4 linked regions of the Diceros bicornis minor genome follow. The protein of the gene in region 1 interacts with the protein of each later gene in a pairwise test. Links are inferred from orthologs where the notes say so. Each region holds a gene or a part of one and is shown in the gene's direction. Other genes may lie near its edges. The genes, in order: MYO5B, RAB11B, BNIP2 and RAB25.

What was found.
Region 2: the proteins of MYO5B (region 1) and RAB11B interact in binary tests that used the Homo sapiens proteins (3 or more experiments, as listed by UniProt). The link is inferred for Diceros bicornis minor from reciprocal best matches to the Homo sapiens genes MYO5B and RAB11B.
Region 3: the proteins of MYO5B (region 1) and BNIP2 interact in binary tests that used the Homo sapiens proteins (3 or more experiments, as listed by UniProt). The two-hybrid records come from large-scale screens. The link is inferred for Diceros bicornis minor from reciprocal best matches to the Homo sapiens genes MYO5B and BNIP2.
Region 4: the proteins of MYO5B (region 1) and RAB25 interact in binary tests that used the Homo sapiens proteins (3 or more experiments, as listed by UniProt). The link is inferred for Diceros bicornis minor from reciprocal best matches to the Homo sapiens genes MYO5B and RAB25.

Annotation. Positions count from the first base shown.
Region 1 is NC_080755.1:42,689,802-42,697,655, reverse strand, and holds the start of MYO5B (unconventional myosin-Vb), read left to right. Parts: upstream 1-4,850; 5' UTR 4,851-5,268; coding exon 5,269-5,295; intron 5,296-7,854. UniProt on the Homo sapiens protein: May be involved in vesicular trafficking via its association with the CART complex. The CART complex is necessary for efficient transferrin receptor recycling but not for EGFR degradation.
Region 2 is NW_026691615.1:317,945-325,946, reverse strand, and holds the start of RAB11B (ras-related protein Rab-11B), read left to right. Parts: upstream 1-4,996; 5' UTR 4,997-5,070; coding exon 5,071-5,110; intron 5,111-8,002. UniProt on the Homo sapiens protein: The small GTPases Rab are key regulators of intracellular membrane trafficking, from the formation of transport vesicles to their fusion with membranes.
Region 3 is NC_080744.1:54,624,855-54,632,459, reverse strand, and holds the start of BNIP2 (BCL2/adenovirus E1B 19 kDa protein-interacting protein 2), read left to right. Parts: upstream 1-4,603; 5' UTR 4,604-4,716; intron 4,717-7,605.
Region 4 is NC_080743.1:59,706,980-59,714,297, forward strand, and holds the start of RAB25 (ras-related protein Rab-25), read left to right. Parts: upstream 1-4,301; 5' UTR 4,302-4,543; coding exon 4,544-4,586; intron 4,587-7,318. Other genes in the region: ragulator complex protein LAMTOR2, read left to right, coding at 269-431, 2,580-2,669, 2,910-2,966. UniProt on the Homo sapiens protein: The small GTPases Rab are key regulators of intracellular membrane trafficking, from the formation of transport vesicles to their fusion with membranes.

The DNA of each region.
Region 1 (7,854 bases):
AACCTTCTCCCAATTATCTTCTGCCATCTTCACGTGTTAGAGCTTCTACCCTGATCACCAGCCATCTCTACCCCGGGGAGGAGTGCCCTTGCGAAATCTAGGCTGAGGTCTGTGTCAAGGTCTCCCCCATACAAATAGTAACAGAAGTCACTGCTTAAACCCTCATAGCCTGGGTGCTAACTTGGAACAGGTGAAAAACAAATCCACATTGCCTAGAGAGAGACTCAGAAATGCCCACTGAGTAAGCTACAAAGGTGAAAGTGTTCCAGAGCATCAAGGCTGTTAATACCATTCTCAATCCGGAATTCCTAATGAAGACCTAATTTTGGAGGTCATAGATGTGGCTGCCCTCTGCTCCATGGGCTTCAGACTTTTTTGCTCTCAAACTCTTTAAAGTAATTTTGAAAAACCATGTATGTCTCCACACATTTTTAGGTTAATAACTAAAAGTTTTCGTAAGTTTAAATAATTGAAAAAGATGTAATTTGGGTATATTGTACATATTGTCAGCTTAAAATAAAACGGTTACATCACTCTTTTAAATGAACCCAATGGACTCTAACTGCCATAGCAATTTGATACCCTCCATTGCCCGTTTAAAAAAATACACAAGTTCTTTAAAACATGCATTTTTTTCTTGAGCCTGAAATTCCATTCCACTTTCCCTACAGAATTTTAGCCTACATTTTTTATACTGGAAACTCTTCTGACAACCACCCTATAACATTATCTATAACAAAAATATGTATATAAATTATTTAAAAATTTTCCAGTGGTCAAGTATTCTGAATTGAATTATCATCACAGATGGTCTTATACAACTTTAAAAATCTATTCCTATTTTTGTTATGGATAAAAGTGTTATATTTGTTTACATAAACAAATAGATGGGAAAGGAAGTTTTGTTAGGACAGCGTCCCTCAATTTGAATTCCTTTGCCAAAAGCACATAGTGATCCACGAAAAGATTATTTTAAATAACCTGTCAGCTGACAAATGGATCAGGTCCTCCTTCAATTTTGTTAACAGAATTGGAAACCACCAACCTGCACAGAGTGCGGCTCCTTCATCAGAGTCACTCACCTTCTCAACACTGAAGTTTCTATCTGTCCTTTTGTTTGGTGTCCTGGAGGCTCCAGAGGGAGATCTGAGAATGAGCCCCCCTAACTGCAGGGCTGTTTTTTGGCAAATCAGTGTTTAGAAGGAATGAATAAGGAGATTTAGGATCTGGAAACTGATTCCCTTAAAACAATCTATGGAATAACAACTCCTTGAAGAGTCTTGGCACACACCAGGGAACCACAAACCCCATTTGACGATGATGCCTTAGCATGTAGGGGCATACGGGAAACCAACCTTCCAAGAAGGGGAGGAGAGAAATTGCTAGGATGAAGTTCTTACCAGGAAGCCAGTCACACAGAGCCCTTTTTGTGTGTGATTGTATTAGTCACCTATTGCTGCCTAACAAATTACCCCCAAACTGAGTGGTTTCAAACAACACACATTTATTACCTCACAGTTTCTGTGGGTCACAGACTTTATCATCTCACAGTTTCTTTAATTTAGACACAGCTTTTCTGGATTCTCTGCTTCAGGGTGTATTATGTGGCTGCAATCAAAGTGTCAGCTGGGGCTGTGGTCTTCAAGTCGAGTCTGAAGGCTTAACTAGAGAAACATCTGCTTCCGAGTTCACCCACTTAGCTATTGGGAGAATTCAGTTTCTCGAGGGCCACCCTTAGTTCCTTCCACATGGGTTTCTCTATAGGGCAGCTCACAATATGACAGCTTGCTTCATCAGAACAAGCATATAAGAAGAGCCAGAGAGATTTCCAGCAAGATAAAAGTCACAGTCTTTCACAACCTAATCATGGAAGTGACAGCCCATCACCTTTGCTGTATTTTATTTGTTAGAAGCAAATCACTAGGTCCAGCCCACACACAATTCACCTACTGTTTCCTGAGTCCTTTGTGCAAGGCATGATGGGAAGTGCAGAGGATACAAATACAGGTCAGGTGTGGTTCTTGCCTTCCAGCCTAGGGGTGAGGAGGAGAGAAGGATATTGGTATACATGTAATGCCGGGTACAGTAAGGGGAGCTCCTTAAGAGAGGTTAAGTGAATGCTTCGGAAGTTCAAAGTTCTTCCCCACTTGTGTGTGATGGAAACCCCCACCTGTCAGGAGGGAGACCAAGGTAGTCCCAATGGAGGTCTTCTCTTACTTTGAGAAGCCATGGGGCACAGAGCAATGTTTCTTCAAGTGTGACCCCTACACCACCTGGCTACTTATTACACATGCAGACTCGTGGACCACACGTGGACCAACTGAGTTAGCATCCCCTGTATCCCCTTAGTCCTGATACACACTAACGTTCAAGAACCACTGGTGTAAAAAGCAACTGCTTAGACTCTAGAATGAGAGTTTAGTTGAATACCAGCTCTCTGATCTAGAATGTTCCTTACCCAGACTCACTTTGCTTATCTATGAAATAGAATTATTATTCAAACCTATTTTATAGGGTTGCTCTGAGGCTCAAACAAGATCACAGAAGCAAAGCTCTTGTTTCCTGGCACAAAGTAAGTTTTAAAACGTCTTTATTATTATTCAAAGGAGGGAAAGACCTTATCTGATTGTGGGATTAGAAATGCACAAGGCTCTGGCCAAGAGTAATATTCTCCTTAGGGATGTGATTCAGTTCAGTCAGCATGAATTGAGCCTTTAATTTGTGCCAGGTATGATGGAAGCCAGAAAGTTGGAACCAGGTTGGGGGTTGGGAGGAAGGGTGGAAAGAAATGAGTTTCAGGTTGGTTCAAGGTCCTAGTGGGATTGCTAGCATTGCCTATCTGGCAGGTGGAAAGGTGGGTCTAAACGAGGGTTAGAATTAGATTTCAGAGTTAACATATTGGTAAGAGGTAAAATAGGGGGTGTGGATGAGAAGAAAGATGAGGTGTGGGAAATGGGCCACAGTTTTATTCAGGAACCAGGAAGAGGAAACAGAGCTAGAAAAGGTCACAGAGAAGGTGTGGTTAGAGAGGCTGGGGAAAATAAGAGGAGGAAAATGATAGATGCCAAGGGAGGAGATGATTTAACATAGCAGGGAGAATCAATTAGCGCCCCAGAGGGAGAAGGCGATTTCAATAGAACGGGGCTGAGCTGGAACCACTTAGGAAGGAATTAAAGCACCAACTCTTAACCTTGGCTGTCACTAGAACCACCTGGGAGGAACTGGGTGTGAGCAAGTGGAGCCAGCTGGTACCAGCTACACCTCAAGAAGTTTAGCAGGAAAGGAGGACAGAGAAGTCAAGAGCCAGTTGAGAGAGAGCGAGTTGCTGGCAGAGAGATGGGACCACTGATGGAGCGTGGTGGCGGAGAAGCAAAGGGGATCTGGAGCACAGATGTGGATGGCACCATAGCAAGTGGGCTTTCTTGGCTGGAGAGCAGAGAATTCTCTACCGAGGTATGAAAACATTGAGTGCTGGGCCCCTCCCCCAGCGTTGCGGATTCAGTAAGTCTGCGGTGATGACTGATAATTTGTATATCTAATAAGTTCCCAGGTGATGCTGATAGCCTGAGGGCCATGCTTAGAGAAATACTAGAATATAGGGAAGGAATGGATGCAGAGATTTTTGAGTGAGAAATGATGGAACCATTTCCTTTCTGCTCTTGACAGTGACATGATGAAGTCCATTTCAGATCCAAGGAGAGTAGCCCAAGCTTTGGTTACTGCATTTGTCAACCCAGAAGTACAATCCTTTAGACTATGGAGGAGCTTAAAAAATTCAGATAATTTCCACCCTTCACCAATCATCCAGAATTCTTGAGGGTGGGGCCCCTTCCTTGGGTCAGTTAAAGCTCCCCAGGTGAACCTCATTGAGGAGGCACAGTTGAGAGGGGTCCCACGGTGAATTAAATGGGGATCTTGCATTCCAGGTGGGAAGGTCTTAAATGGGATGAGTTTTAAGAATCACCTTCCAGGGAATGGGGCTCCAGGACAATCCCTCCAGCAGGTATAGACAGACACACTGGCTGAGGACCACCCTCAGATGCCATTCCTCATTCACGTACAAAAGCCACCTTCGGAAAACCAAAGCCGTGTCCCCTCCTCTCCTTCCACCAACTCCTGTCAGCTATTTTCCTTTTTGGCTGAAATTTCTACTTTTTGCTGGAAGTAGAAGAGGGACTGTAGTTGCTGAAGACAGCCAAGGGGCACTAGCAGAGGGGACAAAAATAAACGTGGCAGGGAGCGGCAGAGCGACTGAGAGTGTGCATGTGGGAGAGAGGGGAGAAAATGTGAGACCCCCGGCAAAGCATGAAAGTCTGATGGAGGTAGCTGGGAGCCTAGCTGGAAGCTGTGGGTGAACCGGGCAAACGAAGTGACGAGTTACAACTCCCACCTTTCTGATCAGGATTTCAGCGCAGGGAGCTCAGTTTGGCGGAGACAATCTTTGGTATACCCAAATCACCTTAATAACAATCTACGATATAACTGAATTTTAATCATGAAAATATTGAACGCAGCCACGTAAAATCCAGAGGAAAATATATGGGAGCCTTTCAGTCACAGGCATCTTTTTATCCCCCCTACCCCCCGGCTTACTTTCCCTCCTTTTTTTCTCTTGTCTCCACTACATCCCTGCCCAGCCTCCCAGGGGCACAGACCGCGTGCAGGCAGAGCGCGGCGCGGCAGGTGTGGGCCCCCGGGGCGCACCTGTCCCAGCGCGCGCCCGGCGTCCAGCAGGGGGCGGCCGGCACCGGCTCCTCGCCCGGCCCCGCCCCCGGCCCCAAGGACCCCGCTGCGGCGGGGGCGCGGGAGGGAGCGTCCAGCCCGGCCCCGCAGGGCTCAAAGGCGGCGGCGACGGCGCCCCGGCTGCCAGCTCCGACGAGCGCCGCCCTCTCCCCCTCCCTGGCTCCCGCACCTCCTCCCACACCTGCGCGGGGAGCGGCGCCGCGCGGCCTCCTCCCCCCCCCCCCACCCCCACCCCGCCCGCAACTCCGGCCCGGCCGCAGCTACGCCGCCGCGGCGGGAGTAAAGGTCGCGCCGGCAGAGAGCGAGCCGGCCCCGGCGCCTCCAGGAAGCCGGCGGGGCAGGTCGGGGGGAAAGGACAAGAAACACAGAAACTCCCGGGCAGCCCAGGAAGATGGCGCCAGGCGGGCCGGCCGGGGACTGAGAGCCGCCGGGGCAGCGAGGAGCCCGGACCCGCCGCCCCCCGGCGCACGAGCGAGTGCCGCCCGCCAGGCACGGCGCCCCGGGCCAGGCCCGGCCCGCGGGGTCATGTCGGTCAGCGAGCTCTACAGCCAGGTGAGTGCGGGCTGCGCGCGGCGCGCTCGGGCCACGGCGGCCCTCGGGGGCGCCTTCTCCTGCGGCGCCGGCAGGTGCTGCTCCGACTCCCCCTCGCCGCCTCCTCACGCCCCGAACTTCGGGTGGCGGAGAAAGTTTGGTTGTTCCAGGAGCGCCCCGCACTGACCCAGAACCGCGGGGGTGTCCCCGCCACCTCCGAGCCGGGTGCGTGGGGACAGCCCCCCGCGGTGGCGCCCTGCGCGCCGCCGCCCCCTCCATTCGCTGCTGGACCCCACCCCAGGTGCTCTGCGGCGTGAGCTTGCGAGGGCGCCCCTCTGAGGCTTCCTTTCCTCCTGCGTGCCGACGAGGGGGAACGCTGAACTTGGGGAGGGTGTTCTTGCACTTGAGGGGGGGAGAGAAAAGGGGACCCAACCTGGTGTGAGGGGGGAGGTAAGCACTGGGGAAAGCGAGGGGCGCTCCGGGGAGCTCTGGAGATCCCAGGGAAGCGCATTCATCATTTGCCGGCGATGGGCGTTTTGAGGCGGCCCCTCTGGGTGGGTACCTGCCGGGGACTTCATCTGTTGTAGGGAGGGCATCGGAGTAATGCTGACCCGGGGTGGAGTGTGGATTTTCGGGGTGCCCTCAAGGTCAGAATGGATGTGCGAGGCTCCGTCCTCAGAGTCGGGAACAGGTGCGGCCGGGCGGAGACGCCCCGCTTCCGCGGCAGTCGCTGTGGTTCAAGTTAGGGACCAGCCGCCGCTTCCCCGAGCGCCTGCGGTCGCGCTGCAGCCGCCGGGGCCGCCTCGGGTTTCACCTTGGCTCCAGGGATGAGGGGGGCAGGGGCCTTTAAGCCCCCTCCCCCTCCCCTTAAAAAAAAAAAAAAAGTTTCGGATGTCTCGACTCCTCATCTGCCTGGTCGTCTTCTCTGTGGCTGGGACAGGTTTGACGGTGCCTTGTACGCGCGTCTCTGTGCAGAGGTGTGTGTGTGTGTGTGTGTGTGTGTGTGTGTGTGTGTGTGTGTGATGCGTGCACGCGAGTGGGTGTGGGTGTGTTATGCCTGGGCCGATAGGTCTGGGCGGGGGAGGAAGAGCTACTTCCGCATGCTCACCTGGCGATTGCTCGAAGCTGCTCCCGCGGGTGGTCGAGCCCTTCGGCTGGGCGGGCTGGCCACTCCTTTTCCCTAGAGGAATTTTCTAATCCCTCCTTCCTCCTGGAGGGGACCAAGGCTTAGATGGGCTGACATGAGGTGGCCGTGGAGGCTGTAACCTGGCTGGGGGCGGGGTCGCAGCTGCATCTGACACACACTCCGCCCCCGCTAAGGTCCCCTGCAGCTGTGACGGATGGACTACAGATTCTGGGAGAGGAGAGGAGAGGAAAGGGTGTAGGTGCCGGCCAGGGGGTGAAATCTCTGGCACTCCTGGCTTTGGAAAAGCACCGCACCCCGTTTACCCTTGGGAGTCGTGGGAAGAGCCCTCAGAGCTCCAGCTTTCAGGTGTCTTCCTGAAGCGGCTTATCAGGCAGGAACTTCTCCCGGAGGCTGGAAACCAGCGAGGCAGGGAAAAACATGTGCTGGAGAGTTTAAAGCACTGAAGCTTCGTAACATTGAAGTGCACGAAAATGCTACTCGTACTCCCAAGTGCGATGAGTGACTCAACTGATTACACCTGCAACGTGTCATAAAGCCCTTTATCAGACCATAATTAATTGTTGTATTATGTGACAATCCTGGGCAATTGAATAAGCTCTTAATTTTTGAAGCCCTGACTTTGAATAACGAGAATTAATATTGGATTGCTTTTAAAGACAGAACTCTTTCAGGGGAAAACACTCAATTTGATTTTGAGTTAGAAATGAGTACATTGCATCTTAATTACTAGGAATGATGAATTAGTGGGAGTCCGAGCTAAAGAAGTTTCAGTGTACTTTTCCCGGACTTACAGAGATAGGGACAAAACTTTCACCAGAGGAAGGCCTTGGAAGGATGCACAAGACCAAAAAAAAAAAAAAAAAAAGTAGCTTCATTGGTGTGAGGGTTTTGGCATAATTAATCCAAAAACAGTATTAGAATTTCTCCCTAGGGCTGGAGGACTGCACCTTGCTCTGTTAATAAGTTTCTAGTTCTTAATTGTTTTTAGGTTTTTGAATCTGAAATTCAGATTTTCTGTGGCCGATGCAATAGCTTCCAGATTTGTTTTGAGCTCTGTGTGTGTGTGTGTGTGTGTGTGTATGTATGTTGTTGTTGTTCTCTTTGGCAGAGTTAAACACGGTTAACGCTTTACTATGAGAATCGTTTGCATTGTTTCCTAACCATTGTCACCCCACTTGCTAGGCTGGATTCTCAGTACGTATGCATATGAATCATAAATTATGCAGAGAAATGCCTGTCACTCAGACTCGCTTCGTTTCTTGGGAGATGATTTGTTCATTTTAGTGTGTTATCAGAATAGCCAGTGTTCCCTTTTATTTTTAACCTGCTAGTGGGCTTTTCTAACGTGATGAACACTGGATTCAGGCACGTACTTTAATGTATGATGCATGATGGAAATAATTATCCATTATGCCCGCAGCATTTATAAGTGG
Region 2 (8,002 bases), on another chromosome or scaffold:
TAAAGCAGCTCACGCCTAGGCCCCGGGACTTACGCAGTTTTTAAAAATGTAAACATCTCTCCACTGCACATGGAGAACTAGTATCCCCTGCCATAAATAAGTTAGTGAAACTAAAGCCAATGAAAATAAAACAATGCCAGTGCTTTAAAATTCCAGCTAGAAAACTGATCTACGGTGAAAAAAAAAAAACAAACCAAAAAACCCTGAATAGTGGCAGCCCCTGGAAGGGTGGGATGGGAATTGACTGGGAAGGGACATGAGGCAACTTTCCCTCCACAGAGGTGAGTTACTCTGGCATATGCCTTTGTCTTGGTGAATGTACATTTCAGATCTGTGCATATTATTACATGTAAATTTCACCTTCCAAACAAAAACTAAGAAAACAGCCATAAACGATCCTTGAACTCTAGGTAATGATATGCATGCTGAAGTGTTTAGAGGTGAAGTGGACTAACGTCCTTGTTTTATTCGTAATTTTTTTCCAGCTTTATTGAGGTATAATTGCCATATAACATTGTGTAAGTTTAAGGCGTATAAAGTGTTGATTTGATACACTTATATATTGCAAAATGATGACCGCCATAGGGAGCTAACACCTCCATCACGTCGCAGAATTACCATTTCTTTTTCATAGTGAGAACATTGAAGATCTACTCTCTTAGCAACCCTCAAGTATACGATACAGTATTGTTAACTATAATCACCATGCTGTGCATGAGACGCCCCAAATCTTCGACTTTCTTTGAAATGCATCAAAAAATAGGATGATAGATGGGTGGATAGAGATGGATATGCAATAAAGCAAAATATTAATAGTGGACTCTAGGTGTTGCGGATATGAGTATTCTCTACAATTCTTTCCATTTTTCTAAAAGTCCCCAAAATTTCACAACAAAATGCGGGGAAGAAAATTCTAACTAGATCTTGTGGCTTTCTGAAGGCTCTGCTTCTGAGCTCTGTTTAAAGAGGGAGATAAGCATTAGAAAATTGTTCAAGAGATATGAGCAAAAGAGAGTGAGCCTTTCTGTTTGAGGATAATAAAGGATTTCAAGAATTGCAAAAAGGTAAGACTTTCTCAGCATGTGGTTCAACGTTATTTAATGCACTGCCCAGAATAATCATCCATATCATATGGCCTGGAATAATGTGATGCTTTGTCTCCGGGACACATGTTTGGGAAAAACAGCATCTGTCCAAGCCCTGAGCCCCAACTGCTGTTTTCATAGGAGAACCTATCTTTCCAGTATTTCTTGTAAGTGTTCCTTGGAGAGGTCGTGGGGGCTTCTTGCACTAGAGGAAAACCTCCATGCTTTTCCTGTTCCGTGACTCTTCCTGGAAGGTGCTGGGGACACAATGGCTTCCCTGGGGCCCTGGCTGAGTGTAGGTGATGAACTTCTTGGCACTGGGGACAGGCCACTAAAGTTCTGTGGCCTCAGTTCCTGCATCTGCAAAATGGGGATGGTTCTGCTACCCTGCCCTCCCACCCCCACCCCCCACCCCCCACTTCTGTTCTGCTGGTGCTGCAAGGATTTCCTGGAGCATTAAGTGAAAAGCGCTCAGAACAGTGTCTCACTCATGGTGAGCTCACAATATAAACATTAGCCGTCCTTACTAATACTGTTATGATGAGCCATGCTCGGGGTGGGGGCGGGGAGCATGACCCAGACAGGAGAAAAGACTTCACGGTGGATGTGGCTTTTGAGTCAGTTTTCAAAGGAAGAAAATTTTACAAAGATGAGGAGGGAGGGTGGTATTCCAGAAAGAGGTCACTGTGAGAGCCAAAGCCTAGTGGCCTCGGTGGGAAATGCAGCTCCTGTCTGGGGAGCCAGCGCACAGCCCCACCTAGCTGCAGCGAGGGGCAGAAGGCTGGGGAGGGGAACGGCAGGGCGGGTGGGGAAGGGATCTGTGCTGGAATGTGCAGGGCCTCAAGGCAACTGCCCAGGAGTTTGCTGACAAAGGCTGGGAGGCTCCTCCCTGGTCTGGATTTCAGCCTTGCCTTTTCGCCTAATCTCTTTTCTGGCCCCTGGACCCCGCTCTCCAGCCACCATGACCTTCTGGCTGTTCAGACACATCAAGCTCTTTCTCTCACTTGCTTTTGTGTCTGCCTGAAATGCTGTTCCTAATACCTCTTCCCCCTCCTGCGGACTCAGTGCAAATGCCACCTCCTCCAGGATGCCTTCCCTGGCTTCCTAGTGAAGGGGAGGAAGACTATCCTTTACCCACTCTGGGTCCTTTCTGGCTGGGCTACAAATTAAATTGACATGAGACCGCATAGCAGGAGAAAATCCAACAAAGCTTTATAACGTACACATGGGAGAAACCAGGGAAACTGAGTTTCTCAACAAATGGCGGAGGTTTTCACCTTAAATAGCATATTCAGGTAGACAAAGGAGGATGTTGGGGGGGTGGGGAGTCAGCTATGGGAGATTACCAGAAAGCACAATAAACAAGAGTATGCACTGATAAGAGTTTCTAGAGATAAGGTCATCCCCACTTCTTCCTGGTACAGAGAGGGAGATATCTTTACAAATGGACATTTCCCTTCAACAGAACTTTGATAAGAATGGGCTTAGCAAGGACCCTCCCACTCTATCCATACACAGATTTAAATTCATTTAGGCAGTTAGTGGGAAAGGGGTGAGGTCAAAGTTTCTTTCAGAGAAAATAATCAAGGTGAAGAGACATATTTTGAGGGGGCCAATTCCGATCTCCCACTAGCTAAGGAGCTAAGGAGAATAACCCAGGTTATTCTCTTCATTGCATGCCTCCCATTCTGCAATTATCCTGCACATGTTTTTTACTTGCTTCTTATCTGACTGCTCCCAAGAGACTCTCAGCTCCATGAGGGCTGGCACTTTGCATCCCCAGCACCTAGAGTGCTGCCTGACCTCATAGATGCTCAGTAAATGGACGTCCTAAAGGAAGGACTAAAAGATTTTTAAACAGGGGAGCGAGACAACCTGACATGTTTTAAAAACCCCCCTCTGACTGCTGTGGGAAGAACAGACTGTGAAGTGAGGGCAGAGCAGGGGGATCTGGGAGCGGGAAATGCACAGGTCCAGGTGTCACTGACTACGGACCTCGAGAAAGTCAAAGGTGGGTTTGGAAGCAATTAACTGGTTTTTTTTTTTTTTTTTTGCTGAGGAAGATTAGCCCTGGGCCAACATCCGTGCCCATCTTCCTCTACTTTATATGGGACACTGCCACAGCATGGCTTGACAAGCAGTGCGTCGTCAGTGCACGCCTGGGATCTGAACCTGTGAACCTGGCCTCGAAGTGGAGCGCCCACGCTTACCGGCTGCGCCACCAGGATGACCCAGCAATTAACTGTTTTTCCAAGTTGTTTCTTTTCCTTTTGTATATTAAGGAGATGTAACCACCAGCCATCCTGAAACTGACCAAGGGAGGCACTCAAGGGAGATATAACCACCAGCCATGCTGAAACTGACCAAGCCTCACCACAAGAGCTACGCCCACGACCTTTGCCTTATTTTTAATGCAAAAATCTCTCCAGGTGGAGCTTAGGCCTCATGATGTGGAAGCATGTTCTCCAACTGAGCCTGTGCAATCGAATACCTGCCTCTCCCTTTTGAATATTCATTCCCCAACCAAATAAAAGTTCCTGCTTTCCTTGGTTCCCAGACGCCCTGACTTTGGAAATGATTCTTCATGGTCTCCTATTTGCTGCAAATACACTTTACTTTGTGAGACAACTTCCACTGGTGTAGTTTTATTTAACTTACCAGGAGGGGAGGCCACTTGGTTCGGTGTCACAGGGAGTGATGATGGGCGCCAGGATCAGGGTGGTGGCAGTGGAGGGAGTGAGACGTGGTCAGAAATTTGGGAGGGAGAAGAGACACAATAAGGGGAAGGGGCAGAGGGTGGTAAACAATGAGAAAGAGAGAGGAGCCCCTGACTTGTGGCTTTGATGATGGAGGGGGTGGGGGATGGAGACACAGGAGGAAGAGTGGATATGCGGAAAGAGGACAAACAAGTGTCGGGATGCCTGATGGACATCCCAGCGATGAAGTCCAGGAGGCAGTAATAATAATAATTATTGTAACTAGCACATGAGCTCCATGCCTAAGTTGTTCATCACTGGTCAGATATTTATTGAGCACAGGGACACAGCAGTGGTTGTGGCACACACAGTCCCTGCCCTCATGGGGCTGATGTTCTGTTGATGGAGACAAACGAAACAGATTAATGGGTCAAGAAAGAAACACATACTTTAATGTCAGGTAGCGATAAGTCCTGGGGGAGAGGGTGGAATAAAACAGGGTAAGTGGACAGACGAGGGGAGGAGACCATGTTGGAGAGTCTGACGCCCAGTAAGGATTTATAAATATTTGTTAATCAAAGACTTAAAGACAGAATGTGGACGGCTGATTTAGTGTGCGTTTAGGGACAAGATCTAGTTATCTTCCAAAGATTCCACGAGGTTTCTTCCCTGTTATACAGATGAAGGAAACTGATGCAGAACGGTATCGCAATGAGACACCAATACAGTGATGGAAAGTGCAACCGAGAGAGGAGAGGTGACCTCTAATGGAAAAGACCTCGGGGAGAGGCCCCCCAGACAGGGTCATTTATGGGGCGGGGAGGCAGAGCAGCGTGCACAGACCTATGACGTCATCGGGACGTTACATAGCGTAACATCACCTGGACGTAGCGCTATTTCCCTCCCCGGACAGGTCCTCAGGCAGTCGGGTACGGTCTGAATTAAGCCTCTCATTGGCTACTCGCTCCGTCAATCCGTTTCATTCTTCCCTTCTTCCGTCCCGCCTTCCTAAACCCGCCTTTGATAGGCTGGCGCAGCTGTCACTTCAGAAAGGGCCGCATTCCTTCCGCCTTTCTCCAGGAGACCAGGAGCGCGGAGGGCGGATCCTAGCGGCGCCCACCCCTGGGACTCTGCTTCCACCTCTGATTGGCTGCCCTGGGTGCCGGTCGCTACGCCACCCGCCGCAGATTAGCCATCCGGCCGCCGCTCTGCGCGGCGCCGGTTCCGCCCCCGTCGGGTGTTTGTGGTGGGGCTGCGGAGTCGCCGATCCCGCCGGAAGCACCAGGACAATGGGGACCCGGGACGACGAGTACGACTACCTATTCAAAGGTGTGGCCGGTGGGGCACAGACGGGCGAGGGCGCGGCGGCGAGGCGGCGGGCAGGCGGGCCGGCGGGCCGAGGTTGCGTTCCAGGCCGCTGGGCCCAGGCCGGAGCCCGGGGCTTGGGGCCCGGCGGGTCAGGCAGCCGGGAAGGCCGGGGTGGGCCAGGCTCAGTCAGCTTCGGGCCGGGGTGCGCGACCGTGCGGAGCGGGCGGCCCAGGGAGCCCTGGGGGCCCTGGATGAGCCGGGGCGGAGCTGGGGCACAGAGGGGGTGGGGCCCGGAGCGGTGGGAGAGGCCGTTAGGGGCGGGGCCTCAGGAGGGGCGGGGCCGCCCCAGCATTCGGCGGGCCGGGCTGGGTGGAAAGCTCCCTTCGTGGTGGGGGCGGGGCCTTGGAGGCGGGGGCTAGGCGGTAGTGGGCGTGTCCAAGAACTTGCTGGGGCCGGGCGCTTCACGGGGTGGGAGGGGCCAGACCTGATTGGTGGCAGCGCGTCTGGGGGCGGGGCCTTGGAAGGGCGAGGCGGACAATGGGGGTTGAAATGTGTGGGGGGGAGCCTGGATTGGGGTGCGGACCCCGAATTGCGTGGAGGGGCACGTGGGGGGACTGTGTGTGCTGGACCCGGGCCCCGTGTTTAACAGCAACAATTATATCTCTTAATTATTAGAACATTAACAGCACTGTCCAAATACCTGCGTTTTTCTAAGCACTTTATACTCATGTAGTCATTGAAATCCTCAAAACCATGTGAGGTCGGTATTATCCAGCCTTTCTCTTTATGGACCTGGAAACTGGCTCAGAGAGACGAGTGTTAAGTGTTGGAGCAGGACTTGAGCCTAGATCAGCTGTGGGCTTTACCACTTAGGAAGTGTGGCGGGGGGCGGGGGGGGGTGGCGCGGCTTGCAGCCAGGATCTGGGGCCGAGGTTGTCAGACTGCCTCCCCCAACACGTGCGCGCTGATGGCTGGGCCTCACCAACCCTGCCCCGGGGGTAGAGGGCTCTAAGAGCCTCAAGTAAGGCTGAGGCAGATCAGGCAGCCATTGCCCGCCTGGGGCCAGTGGGGAGCTCATTCACCCTGCCCCTCAAGCTGGGAGATTCCCTCCTGATTGGGGGGTCACTGGCTTCACAGTGCCTCTGTGCCAAGCTGGGCTTCGGTCAGGGCCTGTGCTGGGCTCCCTGGCTGACAGTGGCCACCCTTGAGGCTAACCCCTGGGCCCACGTGGGGCACCTTGGCCCTGCTGCCTGCGGGTCTGTCTCCCATGCCAGCTGTTGGCATCTTCCCCTCGATGGGGGAGCCTGGCCAGCCCTGAGAGTGTGGTCTGTGTCTGTCACTGCCCATTGTGTCTGTAGTATTATCTAGCATGTGGGGGCCTGGGGACCTTGGGGACCTGGACATTGGGGTGGAATGCTCCGTACCTGGGATATCCATGTGGCGAAAGGCTTCTGGGCAGAGGGGGTGCCCATGCAAAGGCCCAGGGTCGTCACACAGCTCCATGGGCTTGGCGAGATGCGTGCAGGCTGCTATGTCGCTGGCCAGTGAGGCTGTGTGGTCGGCAGGCATCAGGCCAAAGCCCTGGTGCTGCCGGCTGAGCCTTGGGGTCTCACCTAAGAGCGAGGGAAGCTCTATCAGGGCTCTGGGGACTGGTGACAGGTGGACCGGACTCCAGTCCTGCTGCACCTGGTGCCTGTCTTTGCTCTGCCCGCCCTGAGACATCTGCTCCCCAGGTCCGGGCTGGGCACTCACCCGGATGTGGCACTGCCAGGGCAGAAGGCATTCCCAGTGGCCACCTCCAGGTTTCTGTGGTCATTCCCCGCTTGTTATTTTCAACTGTTTGCTGTTATAAATAACCCAGGTCCAAGCGTTTGCACAAGTCATCTTTTGCTCTTTGGGTTATTTCCTTGAAGTTTGTTCCCAGAAGTACAGTTACTGGGTCAGGGGCAATGGAGCGGTCGTGTGCTTCCCGGGATGCATCTCCAGGGTCCGCTTCCTGGAAACACTGATCTGGCTCCTGTGGCAACTGGTACGTGGTGGGGGCGGGGGGTGCCTGCGCCACTGCCCTCCCCCTCTGGCCTCCTTTTTCTGAGTCGAGCAGGTGCCTTCCAGTCGGGGGAGCCCTTCAGGAGCGGAGAGGGCAGCGATCCTCTGCCCCCTGCCCTGTGCGCAGCCTCCCTCAGGCTTCAGTCACTTTCCCCTGGCCCTGCCCTGGGCACAGAGGGGCCACCCCTCTCCCTTGGGACACTGGCTGCCCCCTGTCCTGCCCTCCTTCAGTGCCTTGTGTTATTTGGCAGCCACATCATATCTTGGATCCCCTGACCTGCTCGGCTAAGGCCAACAGACCCCCGTTGGTGCTGTGTGCTGTTTATTTTCCTCCTTGCACATTCTGCCCTCCCCTAGGAATGAGGTTGTTTATTTGTAGCTAATTATAGATCCTTACATTTATCCTGCTAACATTTTATAACCTGGGACCATCTTCCCAGCCTGCCCATTGATCCCCAGGGGTCGCCCCTGACCTCTCCTCTGATGGACTGGCTGTGGGGTCCACAGTGGGTGCAGCTGTGTCCCCAGGGGCCACCGAGGCCTTCCCGGAGCCCCCAGGCACTCACCTGGCCTGTGAGGACGTGGCTGGTGTGGGAAGCTGCCGTGGTGGCCCAGGGCCCTCTCCTCTGGATTGGCCCCTGCCCCATCTAGGAGTCCTTCTGGGGAGGTGCCAGGAGCGAGTGGCAGCTGGCTCCCGGGAAACAGGCCAGCCCCAGTGCTCGGCCCCTCTGCTGGGTGCTCCTGAGGCAGCCTCCCCTCTCTAGCCCGGGCAGGGCCCCCCACCCAGCCCCCCTGGTCCAGGATCTGAGCACACCATCTTCCCCATTGCCAGTGGAGGCTCTGCCTGTGCCTTGACTTTGGGCCCCT
Region 3 (7,605 bases), on another chromosome or scaffold:
TTTATTTACCCAGCCCAGAAAGAATTAAAAAAGCATTATTACCGGTAAAAATCATCATCATCATCATCATCATCAATCAATCAAGCTCTGATTTTTTTCAAGTTGGAAGCTATTACTTATTTGTATATTTCTAAATATAGATGGTCACACTGCTATTAACATTTCACATCTTAAAGGAAAGAGGAAAGAGTGAAATCTACTTCCCTCTTCAAAATTAATCTTGATTTTAGCAATAAACCAAGTATGGTGATACTATGTCTGCTACTTCTGCAAGAGTTTAATAAGTGCAGTGATTTTTTTTGGAATGACCCCTATTCAGGGTAGAGGGACCTCTGTCCATCATCTTCTTTCCAAATGACAACCATGATCTCCAATCTATTTGTTGCTATGATTTTGCCAAATTTTATGCTTTTGCATTATAAAATGTATACCCTCAGTTTTAAACTCATATTTGCCATTTTTTTATGACATTGCAGAAACATCTTCACAGAGGACTTGAATGTGGACTCTAAGATTTGTTCACACTATTAGTTTTGATGAGTAATCAAAGACAGTACTAGTCTTTCCTAACTTCTGTTGAATAAAATGTGTATCCTCCCTCCCTCAAAAAACAGGACTGTGTCAGGATCTGAACTCTTGTTCTCACACAACTTCAACCCATAACCTAGCTACTTCCCTGAATGAATTGAATTCTTAGAGTCCTGTTGACTAAAACTCTCCAGCAAATAAGCCTAGTTTTCCCCTTGAATGGCCATAACCTAACTCTGCATATGGAAATATTTCCTAGACACGTGTGCTGCTGCTTCCCTCTGTGTAGTCTGTGGAATGTGGAAGCACCACGCAAAGGTGATGTGTAATATATATGTGCAGTCCAACTGGATTTTCTGAAATAGGGAACACAAATTCTCTCTGGAACAATTTCTTTTACTGGTTCATTGTAGAAAAGACACTTGTCACCATGCCAAAGACAAAACTGCTGCTGGGTTTAGTTTAGAATTTTCTAAAGCGAATAAGTGAAAAATATATACACATTCATTTCAGACTCAAGTTATGAATAATTAAATGAATATATAATTGTATCCGGTTTTACCCTCAAGCTCAACCAGCAGAGACATCTTCAGCCCATGTAAAAGACACTTCATATTTTTTCAAAAATTATGAGTGAGCTGCCAAACATCACTGAATTTATATGCTCATAAGTAAGAATAACAATCTGTCTCTAAAATTATGCAGTGGAGAGTGCAACAGCATTCAAGAGTCTAATGTACATTATGCCTTCTGAAATTTGAATTTACACAAACATTTTCATAGCGTTGTCTCAAATGTCTTCTTTATCATCTCTCATCTTACCTCTGGTCCAAGGTTGGAGGGCGGAATGGGGAGCAGGTGCAGACTCAGCATCTCTTCAAGTCTATTTGGCTGAGTGCTTTTATTTTGATGTACAAAGTATGACAAAGTAACATGAATAATTTTAACACACATACTAAAGCATATATTCAAATGAGTGTCGTCCTTCTCAAAGTTGTTCTTTTAGGACTTATCATATTGATGCTGCCATGGTGCAGGACATGTTTCAATCCCTTCTTTTGGAGCACAACTATAAAGTAATAATTGATTGCTTTTCCATGTCGTGCATTATATTGGCTCTGAATAAATTCTTAGCATGAAAAAAATCCCTTTTTAATCTGGCCTTTGACTACTTATTTTTGTTACTGGCCATTCACCTCACTCACGTTCCCACTGCTTGTGCTCCAGTCACGATGAACAATGTGCAGTTCCTAGATGCCTCTGTGCATTTGCATATACCATTCCCTCTGCTTGGAAGATCTTCCTCTTATTACTAAGCTTGAGATCACCTCCTTCAGAGAGTCTTCCTTTATCGACCTCACCTCCCACCCCCCAATCTGTTTAGCTCCCTTCTATTTAGCTGCACCTTGGAAGTAAATCCACCAGATTGCTTACTGTCTTTGCTTGCCCCTTATCTGACTAGTCTGTGAGCTCCCTGAAGGCAGACACTGTGTCATTTTTATCTGTACCCTCAGGGCCCAATAGTATTGACTCACAATATTGTTCAATAAAGGGTTTGTCCAATGATGGTTTGTGAATGGATATAACAGTTTGTCAAAAGGTTTGTGAATGGATACTTGAACTAAGTGGGTAACCTAGGATGACAACTTTGAAGGTAAACATTCATTTGAGTCCTAGTTGAGTTCAAGAATTAATGGATTATTCAATAAATAATGTTAGGCACACTATTTTGTCAGTTTAGTAAAAATCAGATTCCCTACTTCATATCATAAGCATATATACAAAATTCCAGTTAGATTTAATGTTCATATTTTTTAAGATGAAAATATTAACAACTATATATTGTATAATTTTAGGGTGAGGAGGGCCTATTTAAATATAACACCAAAGCCAGAAACCACAAAGGAACAGGTTGATGGTGGCTCTGAGCTAACGTATCACTTTCCAAATGATACCTTCTACTTAGCGTCTAGAAGCCACACTTTCTTTCCCTCTCAATTATTTTCCAATTTTTAAGAGTCTAAATATCTGCCTACTCAAGGAGGCATATAGAACAAACTAGTATTGGTAAAAATACACTTAAGATTATCCCAAAAGTCTGGAAACACAGGGAAAATAGTGTCTTTTTATACTTTTTTTCAGATTAACAATTAGACCCACTGATTAGAGGTATTTCACCTAAAAAATATACTGAGCATATTATTTTAAAATGTAATTAGTATATTGTTTGAAAACAAGTTAGTCCTATGTTTCTGACTTTTTGGACACTCTATGAAGTGTTGTTTTTAACAACAAAAAAATGGAGCCACCTAAATATTCAATAAGTAGTTAGTACATAAATTATCCATAATAAAAATTATGGTGTTAAAATATACTTATTGGCCTGAAAAGGAGTTCATAATATACTTTTAAATGAAAAGAAAAAAATTAGATTATAAACTATTAGGTACATTAATTCACTTTTATAAAAACATACATATGCTATTTATACAGTTATATGTATACAAAAATCTGCAAAGATATACATAAATGTATTAAGTGTGATTATCTTTTTTACCTTATCTGTAGTTTCTAACGTTTCACAGTAAGTATGGATAATTCATGAGATGGGGATAAAAAGACAAATACTAGTATGGCTTACTCAAAACCAAAGCAAACACTGACCAAGCTTACTAAACAATAAAGTTACTGAAATTAAAAAGAAACTAAAGATTACAAAAATCACATAACTGCATATGACTTCAAATGATTTTCTGCCACCCTGTGGGGAATACTACTCATTGCAAGACTGAAATAAGCAAAATACGGAACTACAAAAAATCCGTAACTAAAGATGAAATTGCTTACAGGAGCATAGCCCAAGAAGTTGTTTAGCTAAGGCTCTGTTGATCAGCTTTGGTTGTTTTCTCTGCTAGCTTTTTAAAAAATTTCCAGAATGGGGGAAAATAATAATACCTAACACTTATATACGATTACACTACACAAAGCACTGTTCTAACACATAGGACTTTATCTCAAAAAAACCTATCAAGTAGGTATTAATCTTTCCCATTTTATAGATGAGATATAGAGAGTTTAACCCCCCACCAATAGTGAGTAAATGTTGCTAAAGCTATGTAAACCTGGGAGCTGCATTTTTGGGTCAATGATTTAAATTTTTAAGCTTTTCAGTTCCCCTCAAGCCCCACCATTCCCTAATGCCTTACCCAAATAGTTGACTGCTACACCTTTGTAGGGATTTAGTGGGATTTCTGAGAGGGATTATGATGTTCTCCAAACTAATCTTATTTCCTTGAAGCTGTAGAGCAGTCTTGCTACTCAAAAGTATGATCCACAGACCCGGGCGTTTCAGAGACCTGTTCGTTACTGGTCCACGAGACAAGTACAGAAATTGAGAGAAGCGTTTAGAAACCTTTATACCAATTTAACAGGTAATTTTATGGCTGCTGACTCTAACGATAAAATATGTCTGATATTTTAATTTTTTCTGACCAAAGCATGGCCCACAACTAATTGGAAATTTAAAAAAACAATAAATTGATCAATCCCTACTTATTGTATATAGTTTGTATCGTATATAGTATATATATAGTTTGAGAAGCACTGTTGTAAAGCTGTTCACCCTCGAGCATTTTACCAAACTCTTCTGAGGTTTAATTCCCCAAAATGTGGCCTCAGATATTTTTCCTCCCCTATTTTCATCCATAACATACAATTATCGTAATGATCAATAAAGCTAACATAAAGAATACAAAAATGGCTCTTTGAGACTTGAGGATCCACTCCCAGCGAGAAAGGAAGCACCTGCAGCCTCAGAGGCGCCGCCAAGGCGTCTCCGCGCCCCGCCCGCCCGGCGGGAGCGTGTGGGCGGCCGCGTGGGCGCATGCGCGAGCGATAGACTGCGCCAGCTGAGGGGACGAGGGGAGGGACTCCGGGGCTTCAAGAAGACGCCACGCCTCCGCCGGCCGCCGCGCCCGGAGAAGGTCGCGATGCTGTCATTTCCGTCGGGGCTGCTCTCTGCATCCGGGTCAGCCGCTGCCGCTGCGGCCAGGAAACTGGGCCCGGGTCTCTGCTGCCGTCCGAGGGGAGCGGGCTCCGCTCGGCGCTACCTTCTGCGACCTGGCCGTCAGCCCCACGTCGCCGGCCTGGAGGGGCGAAGAAGACGAGGGGGCCAAGGCTTCCTGCGGGGTGAGTGCGGCCCGGGACGACTGGGCACGGCGGGTCTGGGCTGCGAACGGCCCTGGGGGCGGCCGTCTGAGGGGCGCGTGCCCCCGGCCGGCCCGAGAGAGGAAGCCCAGAGGGTTATCCGCTGTAGGGGGCGCCGTGGAACCTGCCCGGGAGGCGCTTCCCGGATCCCCGCCCAGCTGGGGCCCCCGCCCTTGGCTTGGCTCCGGTTTGCAGTTGCCGTCGTTGCCCCCCACCCCTTTTCCGTTTGTGGTGGTTGTGCTCGGGATGGAACCTGCCCCCCTGTCGGCCCTCCGTCCCACACTCCGGTCTGGGTGCGGTGACGGGGCCACACTGGTCCCGTGTTTATGACCAGCGTCGGTCCTGGTGCAGAACAAAGAAACGGACGTCTGATGTGCCGCGTCCCCCTCGGGGAACAGACACGGAAGCAGCATTTGTAATCAGGGCTTTAACAGACCTTCCTACGTGAAAAGCCGAGTTCCTGGGTGGATTCAGACACGGCCCTTTGCTGAAATGGTTTGGGTTTGCTGGACACATATGATGCCACTGGAGATCCACTAGATCAACTCATGTTAAACCAGACGTTAATTTGGGTCTGTTAGTCGCTTTAAACTTCCCTTGCCTGCCTGGTCCGGGAGCTCTTTGAGAGCACAGCGTTTCTCGTGTTCATCCAGGTAGTCATAGCGCCTTCCATATAGTTAGTTGAATGAAGTGTGTGATTGCATTTTAGTGCTTTCTTTATCCTTGTCTTTTCTGATTAGGACCTCTATTTCTCTTAAAGGTAAATTACTTATTTTTTTTAATTAAACGCGTTCTTCTTTTAAAATTTTATAAGAATTTTGCGATTTGTCGATGGACATGTTTCCTCAAAATTATAACTGAAGTTACCCGATTTAGTTACCCTGAAGACTATTTTTCTGATGATCTTGCACATCCTTCTCCCTTCTTGTCATTTTACATTTTCTCGAAACTATTCATAGTCTTCGTAATCTCTTCTACTGCAGCCTAATATTGTTGGGCTTAGACAGGAAGTATGACAGGTCCACTTCTGCAAACATGGAACTTGAACTAGATCATCATAAGTCAGTGCTACTGTAATCTTTAGGCGGTACAGGACCTCTGAAGCTGAGTGTAACCAAATCTGACATTACAAGCTTATTCTGTATAAAGTTGCCAGTGAACTGGAGAGTGTGCTGTATTAGAAACAGTCTAGGTCTAATCTAGGAACCAGAATGTAGTGTCATTTGCCTCATATATAAGATAAAATGGGGATAATAACACCACAACTTTATATCTCACATGATGGTTGGAACATACGAGATGATGAATGTGCAAGTGGCTAGTAAATGTGAAAAGCACTCTTTGGGAACGTGGTTCTGTTCATTCCATCTGGAGTAGTGCTGGTAGATGGAGCAGCAGGAGGAAGGCTTCTAAGAAAGGACGTGTATGTAGCCAGATGCGATAAATTAACCTTGGCTGACAGTGGATTGAAAGATGTCTTTTTGGGGCCCGCCCGGTGGCATAGCGGTTGGGTTCACGCTTTCCACTTCAGCGGCCCGGGGTTTGCGGGTTCGGATTCCGGGCGGGGACCTGCTCACTGCTCATCAAGCCATGCTGAGGCAGCGTCCCGCATAGAAGAGCCACACCTCTACAACTGTGATACGCAGCTATGTACTAGGGCTTTGGGGAGGGAAAAAAAAAAGGAAGATTGGCAACAGATGTTAGTGCAGGGCCAATCTTCCTCAAAAAAAAAAAAAGTCTTTTTAAGCTTACATCCTATAAAACAGAATACTAGTATAATATGATGATAGTAATATTCCAAAATTATAATTTTATATTACAACTAATATTTATAACTCTACAGCAAGGTGTTAGAAATCAGTTATTAGACTTTAATCTTTTTAAAGATCTCAGAGCATCTCCGGCATGTTCTGCATACTGATAATTTAATAAATGTATCTTTTATAGGAGACATAATTATCCTTTGCTTTATTTTCACAATTTTAAGAAAAGTTGGCACCATTGTAATTTTTCTTGAATTTTGTGTTAACATTCCTGATGAAGTATCTCATTTCATTCTTTTTTTTTAATTGAGGTATAATTGACATAACATTAGTTTCAGGTATACCACATAATTCGATATTTGTATATATTGTGAAGTGATCACCACAATAAGTCTAGTTAACATCCATCACACATAGTTATAAATATTTTGTGATGAGAACTTTTAAAGTTTACTCTGTTAGCAACTTTCAAATATGTAATATAGTATTCTTAACTATAGTCACCATGCTGTACATTACATCCCCAGGACTTATTTTTCAAGTGGAAGTTTGTACCTTTTGACCCCCTTCATCCATTTCACCCACCCTCTGCCTTTGGCAACTACCAATCTGTTCTCTATCTATCAGCTTTCTTTTTTTTTATTTTTGATTCCACATGTAAGAGAGATCATATGGTATTTGCTTTTCTCTGTCTTGACTTAGTTCACTTAGCATAATGCTGTTAAGGTCCATCCATGTTGTCACAAATGGCAAGATATCATTCTTTTTTATGGCCAAATAATATTTGTGTGTGTGCGTGTGTGTATCACATTTTCTTTAGCCATTCACGCATCAAAGGGTACTTAAGTTGCTGTTGTAAATAATGCTGCAGTGAACTTGGGGGTGCATATATCTTTTTGAGATAGTGATTTCACTTCCTTCAGATAAATACCCAGAAGTGGAATTCATATGGTAGTTCTATTTTTAATTTTTTGAGGACCCTCCCTACTGTTTTCCATAGTGGCTCCACCAATTTACATTCCCCAACAACAGTGCACAAGGGGTCCCTTTTCTCCACATCTTTGCCAACACTTATTTCTTGTCTTTTTGATAATAACCATTCTAACAG
Region 4 (7,318 bases), on another chromosome or scaffold:
CTGGAGTGGGGCGGCGCGCGGCTCTCCAAGGGAGGGGTAGGGTAGGATCTCCGGGAAGGGAGGAGGTGGCAGAAGGAGCAGGGCAACAGGCCGGGATGGCTCCTCTCGAAAAGAGAAACCGACGTGGTGGGTGCTCGGGGCATATCCCAGGACACCCTCAGCACAGACCCTTGCTTTCTGGAAGCGCCGGTGGCGGGAGTTGGGACGGAAATTCAGGCATTTTACTCCGATCTTGAGCATGTCACTATCCCTCCCCGTCCCTTGCCAGGCTGCTGAATAACGAGGGATCTCTTCTGGCCTACTCCGGTTACGGGGATACGGACGCCCGGGTTACCGCAGCCATCGCCAGTAACATCTGGGCCGCCTATGACCGGAACGGGAACCAAGCGTTTAATGAAGACAATCTCAAATTCATTCTCATGGACTGCATGGTATGGAGAGAGGAGCTACTTCCTCTGTCCTCGAAGGGGATTCCCAGGGGGCGACCCGGACCCCATCCTGGATGGTTGGAGGGGCAGGGACAGGATCTCTGGAAGATTACTAAGAGTTGGTCTGCAGCAGCATTTATAATAGGCAGGACCCTATGCATCAAGTGGTGGTGAGGGAGGAGCCCTGGACCCGAGGTCTGACTGGGGTTCTGGTCTCAGCCAGCCACTAACATTTGTGGAACCTTGGGTAAGTCACTTAACCTCTCTGAGCTTCCTTAGCACACCTCTAAGGGGGAAACAATACACACAGGGTTGTTGTGAAGATCAAATGAAAGAGTGGATATAAACCGTAGGATGATGTACAGACACAAAGTGTTGTCATCCCAGATTCACAGACTCAGGGAAGAATGGCACAGTCTCCAGACACTAGTCCAGTCCCTTCAGTTTACAGAGAAAGCAGATGAAGTCCAGAAAGGGGAAGTGGCCATTAGGCTGTGAACTTCTTGGAAACAGAAACTGTCTCACTCACCTTTGTATCTGTTCAGTCAACAAATTTTTAGGTCCCTGCAATGTTCTCGGGACTTGGAGAAAAGTAGCAAACAGGACAGACAAAAACTATTTATAATGAAACTTAGTCTTAGACATGCTTTAAAATAAGTAAAATATGTATGTTTTGTAAAATAAGTGTGTAAATATGTTTTACAAAATAAGTAAAATATGTATATAAGTTAAAAAAGTAGTATGTTAGGTATTGAAAATGCTGTGGAGAAAAATAAAGCAAGGAAGTGAGATAGAGGCGGATGTGTGTCAGGGACAATCTCATTGCAAAGGTGACATTTCATCACAGATCTGAAGGAAGTTGGCAAGCCATGTGGCTGTCTGGAGGAAGAACGTTTCTGACAGAGAGAACAGCAGATGCAAAGGCCTTGAGGCAGAATGCTGCCTGGTCAAGGATCAACAAGGTTGATGTGGCTGGAGTGGCATCAGAGTGGCATGGGGAGGTTAGTAGGAGCAGAGTCCAGACAGGCAGAGAGTGTAGCACCTGGTTCCCAGCACTCGCTGGATACCTAGTGAAAATTTGCTGAACCAAATTAAAAAGGCCTCAACAGGGGCCGGCCCCGTGGCTTAGTGGTTAAGTGCGCGTGCTCCGCTGCTGGCGGCTGGGGTTCGGATCCGAGCGCGCACCGAGGCACTGCTTGTTAAGCCATGCTGTGGCGGTGTCCCATATAAAGTGGAGGAAGACAGGCACAGATGTTAGCCCAGGGCCAGTCTTCCTCAGCAAAAAGAGGAGGATTGACAGATGTTAGCTCAGGGCTGATCTTCCTCACACAAAAAAATAATAAATAAATAAATAAAAATAAAAAGGCCCCAAGAATGAACTCTCCAGAAAGGAATTCCACTGTAACTCAGCTGCCTACCTCATCCTTACCCCCTGTGCAACCAAGGATGTCATTTCAGTTCAACTGATGACTCCTCCTGGGTGCCTAGCTTAGAGCTGGTGCTTTAGGGCAATAGCTTTCAAACGCTTTGATCACAACTGGGCCAAAGGAAGTACATTTTAAGTCAGAGCCCAGTGCACATATATACCCACTAAAACAAAAGTTTTGCGAAAAAGGTCTCGGCTTACAACATGCAATGCACTTCATTTCTCTTCTTTTTTCTTTTAATGCTGATCACCTTCTTAATTGATCTCCTAACCCTGGGGTCAGACCTGCAGTTTGAAAAGCATTACCATGGGAAAAGAGGAGAAGCATAAGTTGGGTTACTGCTCTCAAGCCCCTTACATTGTTTTGGGGTGAACCCATAATAATAATCTCACCCATTTGGACAGCCCTTTGCAGATACAAGACTCCTTCATGTGTACTGGCGCCCTCACCAGCTGGGGTGAGGTTGGGGTTACAGAAAGAGAAACGGAGTCCCTGGGAGATTGAGTTTCCCAGCGTAACTTGGTTAGTAGGTGCCTGTGCTGAGGCTGGAATTGGGGTTCAGGACCCCATGTCCAGGGCTGTGGCCAAAGCCCCACTGCTGAAGCTCCTGCGTGTGCCCAGGGCATGGGAGGAAGATAGAGTCTCTCTCAAGAGGAGCCCTTGGGGAAAGAGGGGGCTAAGGTGCCAAGCCGAACATCACATCCCATGATATTGTCCCCACCAGGAGGGCCGTGTAGCCATTACCCGAGTGGCCAACCTTCTGCTGTGTATGTATGCCAAGGAGACTGTTGGCTTCGGAATGCTCAAGGCCAAGGTGTGTACATGCCCATCCCTCTGCAGTCCTGGGCCCAGCCTTTGTGCTCCATCACTGTCTGTTCCCATCCCCACCACCTTCCTGCAGGCCACCTGTCACCCAATCCATGTCTGGTGTGGGCTAACTCCCAGGAGCAAGCGGGGGCTGGGAGGGGGTGCTCAGCATTGGGTGTAGACCTGGATTTGGGATCCCTCTAGGGGCAGGCCATGTGTGGGACTGATTCTGCTCTCCCTTCTGCAGGCGCAGGCCTTGGTGCAGTACCTGGAGGATCCCCTCACCCAAGTAGCGGCATCATAGTGGGCGTTGGTGGAAGCTGGAGTCAGAAAAGAGAGATGACCACTGGGAGGGGCAGGGCCCCCTGGGGAAACCTTCCTGGACTGTGGAGGGAGGGTGGGACTTTGTTTTTTCCAAGAATAAACTTCAGCTCCTGTCTTGTGTCCTGGCTGCTTTCTTGAGTGGGAGCAATCAGAGGAGATAGAAAGGAGCAGGGATTTCTTATAGGATTCTTCATGTGCTGCAAGGATGGATTTCCACCCATTCCTTCACCAGGACCTCCAACAACCCAATGGTTTTGGGCAGTGATGCCTCACTCCCTTGGCCTCTCCCGTGGTGTGACCTCCCCTGGTCCCTGCCACTCAGAGCAGAATCTCACCCACCTGATGGCAAAACCTTGGGCGTGAGCTCAGAGGTGCAAGGGGCTGGTGGAAGGTCATGTTGAACAAAGAGAATATAGGGCCCTGGGAATTAAGTGTCCTTCATCCTGATTTTGAGGGGTGGGGGAGCTTTTCTACTCTTGGGGTTGGGAGAGTGTCCCCTAGCTGCCTACAAGGGGCCACTCCTTTCCTCTTCTGCCAGGCATTCACATGCTCACATAGACCTTCTCCAGATCTTGCAGCCCTTTGCAGACAGGATGGCTTTGTTGTGAGGCTTCAGGTCCTGGAGAGGGAGTAAAAGAAACCCAGAAGACCTCTCAGAGGGCTTCCCCTCCAGATTCTGCCCCTCCACTCAGACTCTTCACCCCATCTGGCTGTTTCTGCCCCAGGTCTCCCCATACCCAGTGTCCTTAAGAGCAGGTCTGGATGGGGAGCTACCCAGTGCTGTAGGAAGGGACCCATCCCAGAGAAGAGGTAGGTTGCAAATTCCAGCTCCACCCAGGGTGAGACATACTGCCCGTCCCAGGCCCTGGGCTGTCAGGGAGGGGTAGAAGTTGCTGTATGGGAGATGCAGCTCCCAGACCTCTGCACGGCAGGGTGACTGGCATCCCATCAGCCCCAGCCCCTTGCCCCAACAGCCCTTGCCATGGTGCCCCCAGATAACCCCTGCAAGGGCTCTGAAGGAAAAGCAGGCGGTCAAGTAGATTTTTGCTCCCTGAGAGGCTATTTCTCACTCGCTGGTGGCTGGGCCCCCTGGCCACAGGTCTCAGGAGCCTAGACATGCGTACTCAGTCCTCAGCTGGCTCTCTGAAGGCCCTGTCCTTGTCCCAGCTTCCCCCACTGTCACCCTCTGGAGCCTGCTCACCTGCTTGCAGGAGCCCAGGCTGAGAGCACACACCCAACCTGTCTAACCTGTCTGACGTCATCGTCTCTCCACCCACCTGGGCCCCAGGTCTCCAGTCGCCCTGCTCTTCCTGTTCTCAGCTTCCGTCCTCTCAGCTTCCTTGCAGCACCCCCACCTGCCAGAGCTGAGCCTCCCTAGGCTCTGCCTAGCCTCGAGTCGGCCCCCAATCCCTCTGGCTTGCAGAAGTTTCTTTACCTCCAATGAGAGGAGGGGCGGATCCAGGTCTCTTGAGAACTGAGGGTTGAGGGCGTTGAACTAACGCATAGACCCGTCATCTCTGCCCTTGAAGACACTTGTACCCTCCATGCGGAGCCAAGATGGGGAACGGAAACGAGGAAGATTATAACTTTGTCTTCAAGGGTGAGTTGGGGTCCATAAAGAGAGAGGAAGCCTGAGAGAGACCCAGAAAGAGACCAACAAACCAGAGACGGCCCCTTCCTGTTTTTTTATCTCTTAGCAGGACCCCCCAGGGCTCATCATTCCTTTGGATAAGAAAGAAAGCTGCAGGAGGTGAGGGAGGGTCTGATTACAGGGGCGAAAGTCCTGGAGCTGCTAGAATGCTCTACTGTTGTAAATAATGATGGTGATCACTCCTTAATAGTGTCGAGTTAGGCTCCTCTGCCCCATGCCTAAAGGAAGCCCAAATCCCTAGGAATAGTCAGCCACTGCAGCACAAGAGATGGAGATCAGACTTCAGAGAGGACTTCCCTCCTGAGAAAAGGGGAAACAAGCAGACTTAAAAGAAAGAAAGTCATCTTCCTGGGAAGATGTATAGGAAAGGAGAGATCTATTTCATCATAGGGCTGAGTGAAGACATAGGGAAGCTGTAACGATTTGGGAGCAGGGTCTAATAGGATCCAGAGGACTCCTAGGGCCATGGTCTTGTCTGCTGTCCCTTGGCAGACCCCTTGGGCCCAAATACCAGGCCCTGGGTTCCACTTGGCTGTCCCTGGAAGTGTGCGTGTTTCTTTCCTGCTCCTTTATCTCAGCCCCTGTGCTTGGCCTCTCTATTGTTCCCCACTCCCCATGCCACCCCCACCTCCACGCCTCCTTCTGGGCAGGGTGGATTGGCGGAGCTATGATTCCCTGTCCTGCCACCCCACCCCACGCCTCTCCCAGCCTCAGCCCCACCCTCTCTCTGGCTGGGACTCTCAGGCATCTGGGGTTGGGGAACCTGTAGTCCCGGCATCCTTCCCAGGAAGGGGAGGCCAGGGAAGGGCTAGCAATAGTCTGGGGCAGTACGACCACTAGTAACTACTGTTTATTGAGCCCTTAGCATGTGCCAGCCGCTAGCTCATTAATCACCATAACAACCCCCAAAAGTTATCTTCCATTTTGAAAGCATAATGGTCATTATAGCATCACGGTCAGGAGCCAGACTGAGTTCAGATCTCAGCTCTGCCGCTTACTCAGTACTGCAGGTTGGGGTCTCCAAAGCAGACACTGACAAGAAGTTTGGGGTATAAGATGTTTATTATGGATCAACACCAGTGAAAGGAAGGGGGAGGAAACAGGACTGGGCAGGAAGCAAACTGTAGCGCAGAATCACAAAGCCTCGGCCAAGGGCAGCGAGCTCTGTGATCCCCTTACCTTGCTCCGGCACTGGAGGTGGGGGGCTGCCCGGGAAAGGCATGACCTCAGGTACAGCTGCTCTCTGCACCAGGAGCACATGCTGAAGGAGCTGACAGCTGGAGGCTGTCTGCCAACTGCACTGTCTGCAGCTGGGGGCCAGTCCTTCCTTGAAGCCGGATCCAGGCAGCACACCTCTGCGTTTACCACGCTAGCTGGCTAGCTGTGTTACCTTGTGCAAGTCATTTAACCCCCTCCGTTCCCTTGTCTGTAAAAATGGGATGAAAATGATAACGGTACTTGCTTCATGCCATTGTTGTGAGGATTAAATGAATTAATATGGGTAAAGCCTTTAGGATGGTGCCTGGCACGTAGTTGGCACTCAATCAGTGTTAACAATTAGTATCTGCATTTTACAGACGAGGATGAGACAGAGTAAGTAGCTTACAAAAGGTCACAAAGTCAGTATTCAAACCCAAGTCTGTCTGACTCCAAAATCCTTGCCCTGAGAAGCTGTTGGGCCTGAGGGTAGGGCTAGGAGCCCACCCACCAGAGGGATGAGATGGGGATGAAGTTCCCAGTAGGGGAGAGGCAGGAGCACACACACACACACCCATAAGCCTCCCAGCTCTTTCCTGTCCTACACAAATAAGGAATTTTTAAAGTTGGAGGGGGCCTTTATAGATTTTATACACAAGGAAACTGAGACCCAGAAAAGGTGAGCCACTTGTTCAAGGTCACATGGCTAGTCAGAGGCTGAGTGGGGATCAGAACCCAGAATATGTGGCTCCCAGGGCACCAGCCTGCTTTTCCAGAACCACTCTGGGCGGCCTCCTCTAACCCTGGATGCTCAGCTCAGTGTCGGTGCAATTTATGGGTCATACTTAATCAGCCCCCTACACTCTCCCCCAGCCCCCAGCTCACCCACGGTAAGGCTGGGCCCTGGATGCTGCCCACCAGCCCAAAGGCTCTTCACGGCCCCTCTGATGGATCCTTGTCCCTGAAAACCTGAAAGTAAAAGCTCTGGCCTACCAACAGCAATCCCAGCAGTAACAGTTTTGCACACTCACTATATCCTGGGCAATATCTCATTTACTTTTTGCAACAACTCATAAGATAGTCACTATTGTTATTCCCATTTCTCATATGAAGAAGAAAGTCAGAGAAGTTAAATAACTTGCTAAAGGACACACGGCTGGTCCAACACCCAGCCCTATGGTCTTAATATGCAAGACTGCCCCTCCTTGGGGACAACTGGATCCTAACTTCTTACACACCGCCTGCATACCTTCCCCCCACCCACACACGTGTCACTTGCCAACTTTCTCCTCACTCACACTTCTATTCGCGCCTCTGCTCCCATGCAAACACACACACCAAACCCCCCACTTGTCCTCCCAGCTCATATACATAGAAACGTGCTCAATGTTCTCATACTCCCTAGTCCAGAAATGTGCACCCTCCCCCCCAGACCTCCTGCCATCTCTCTCCGCATTCACACACTCTGCTAACCTCTCCACACA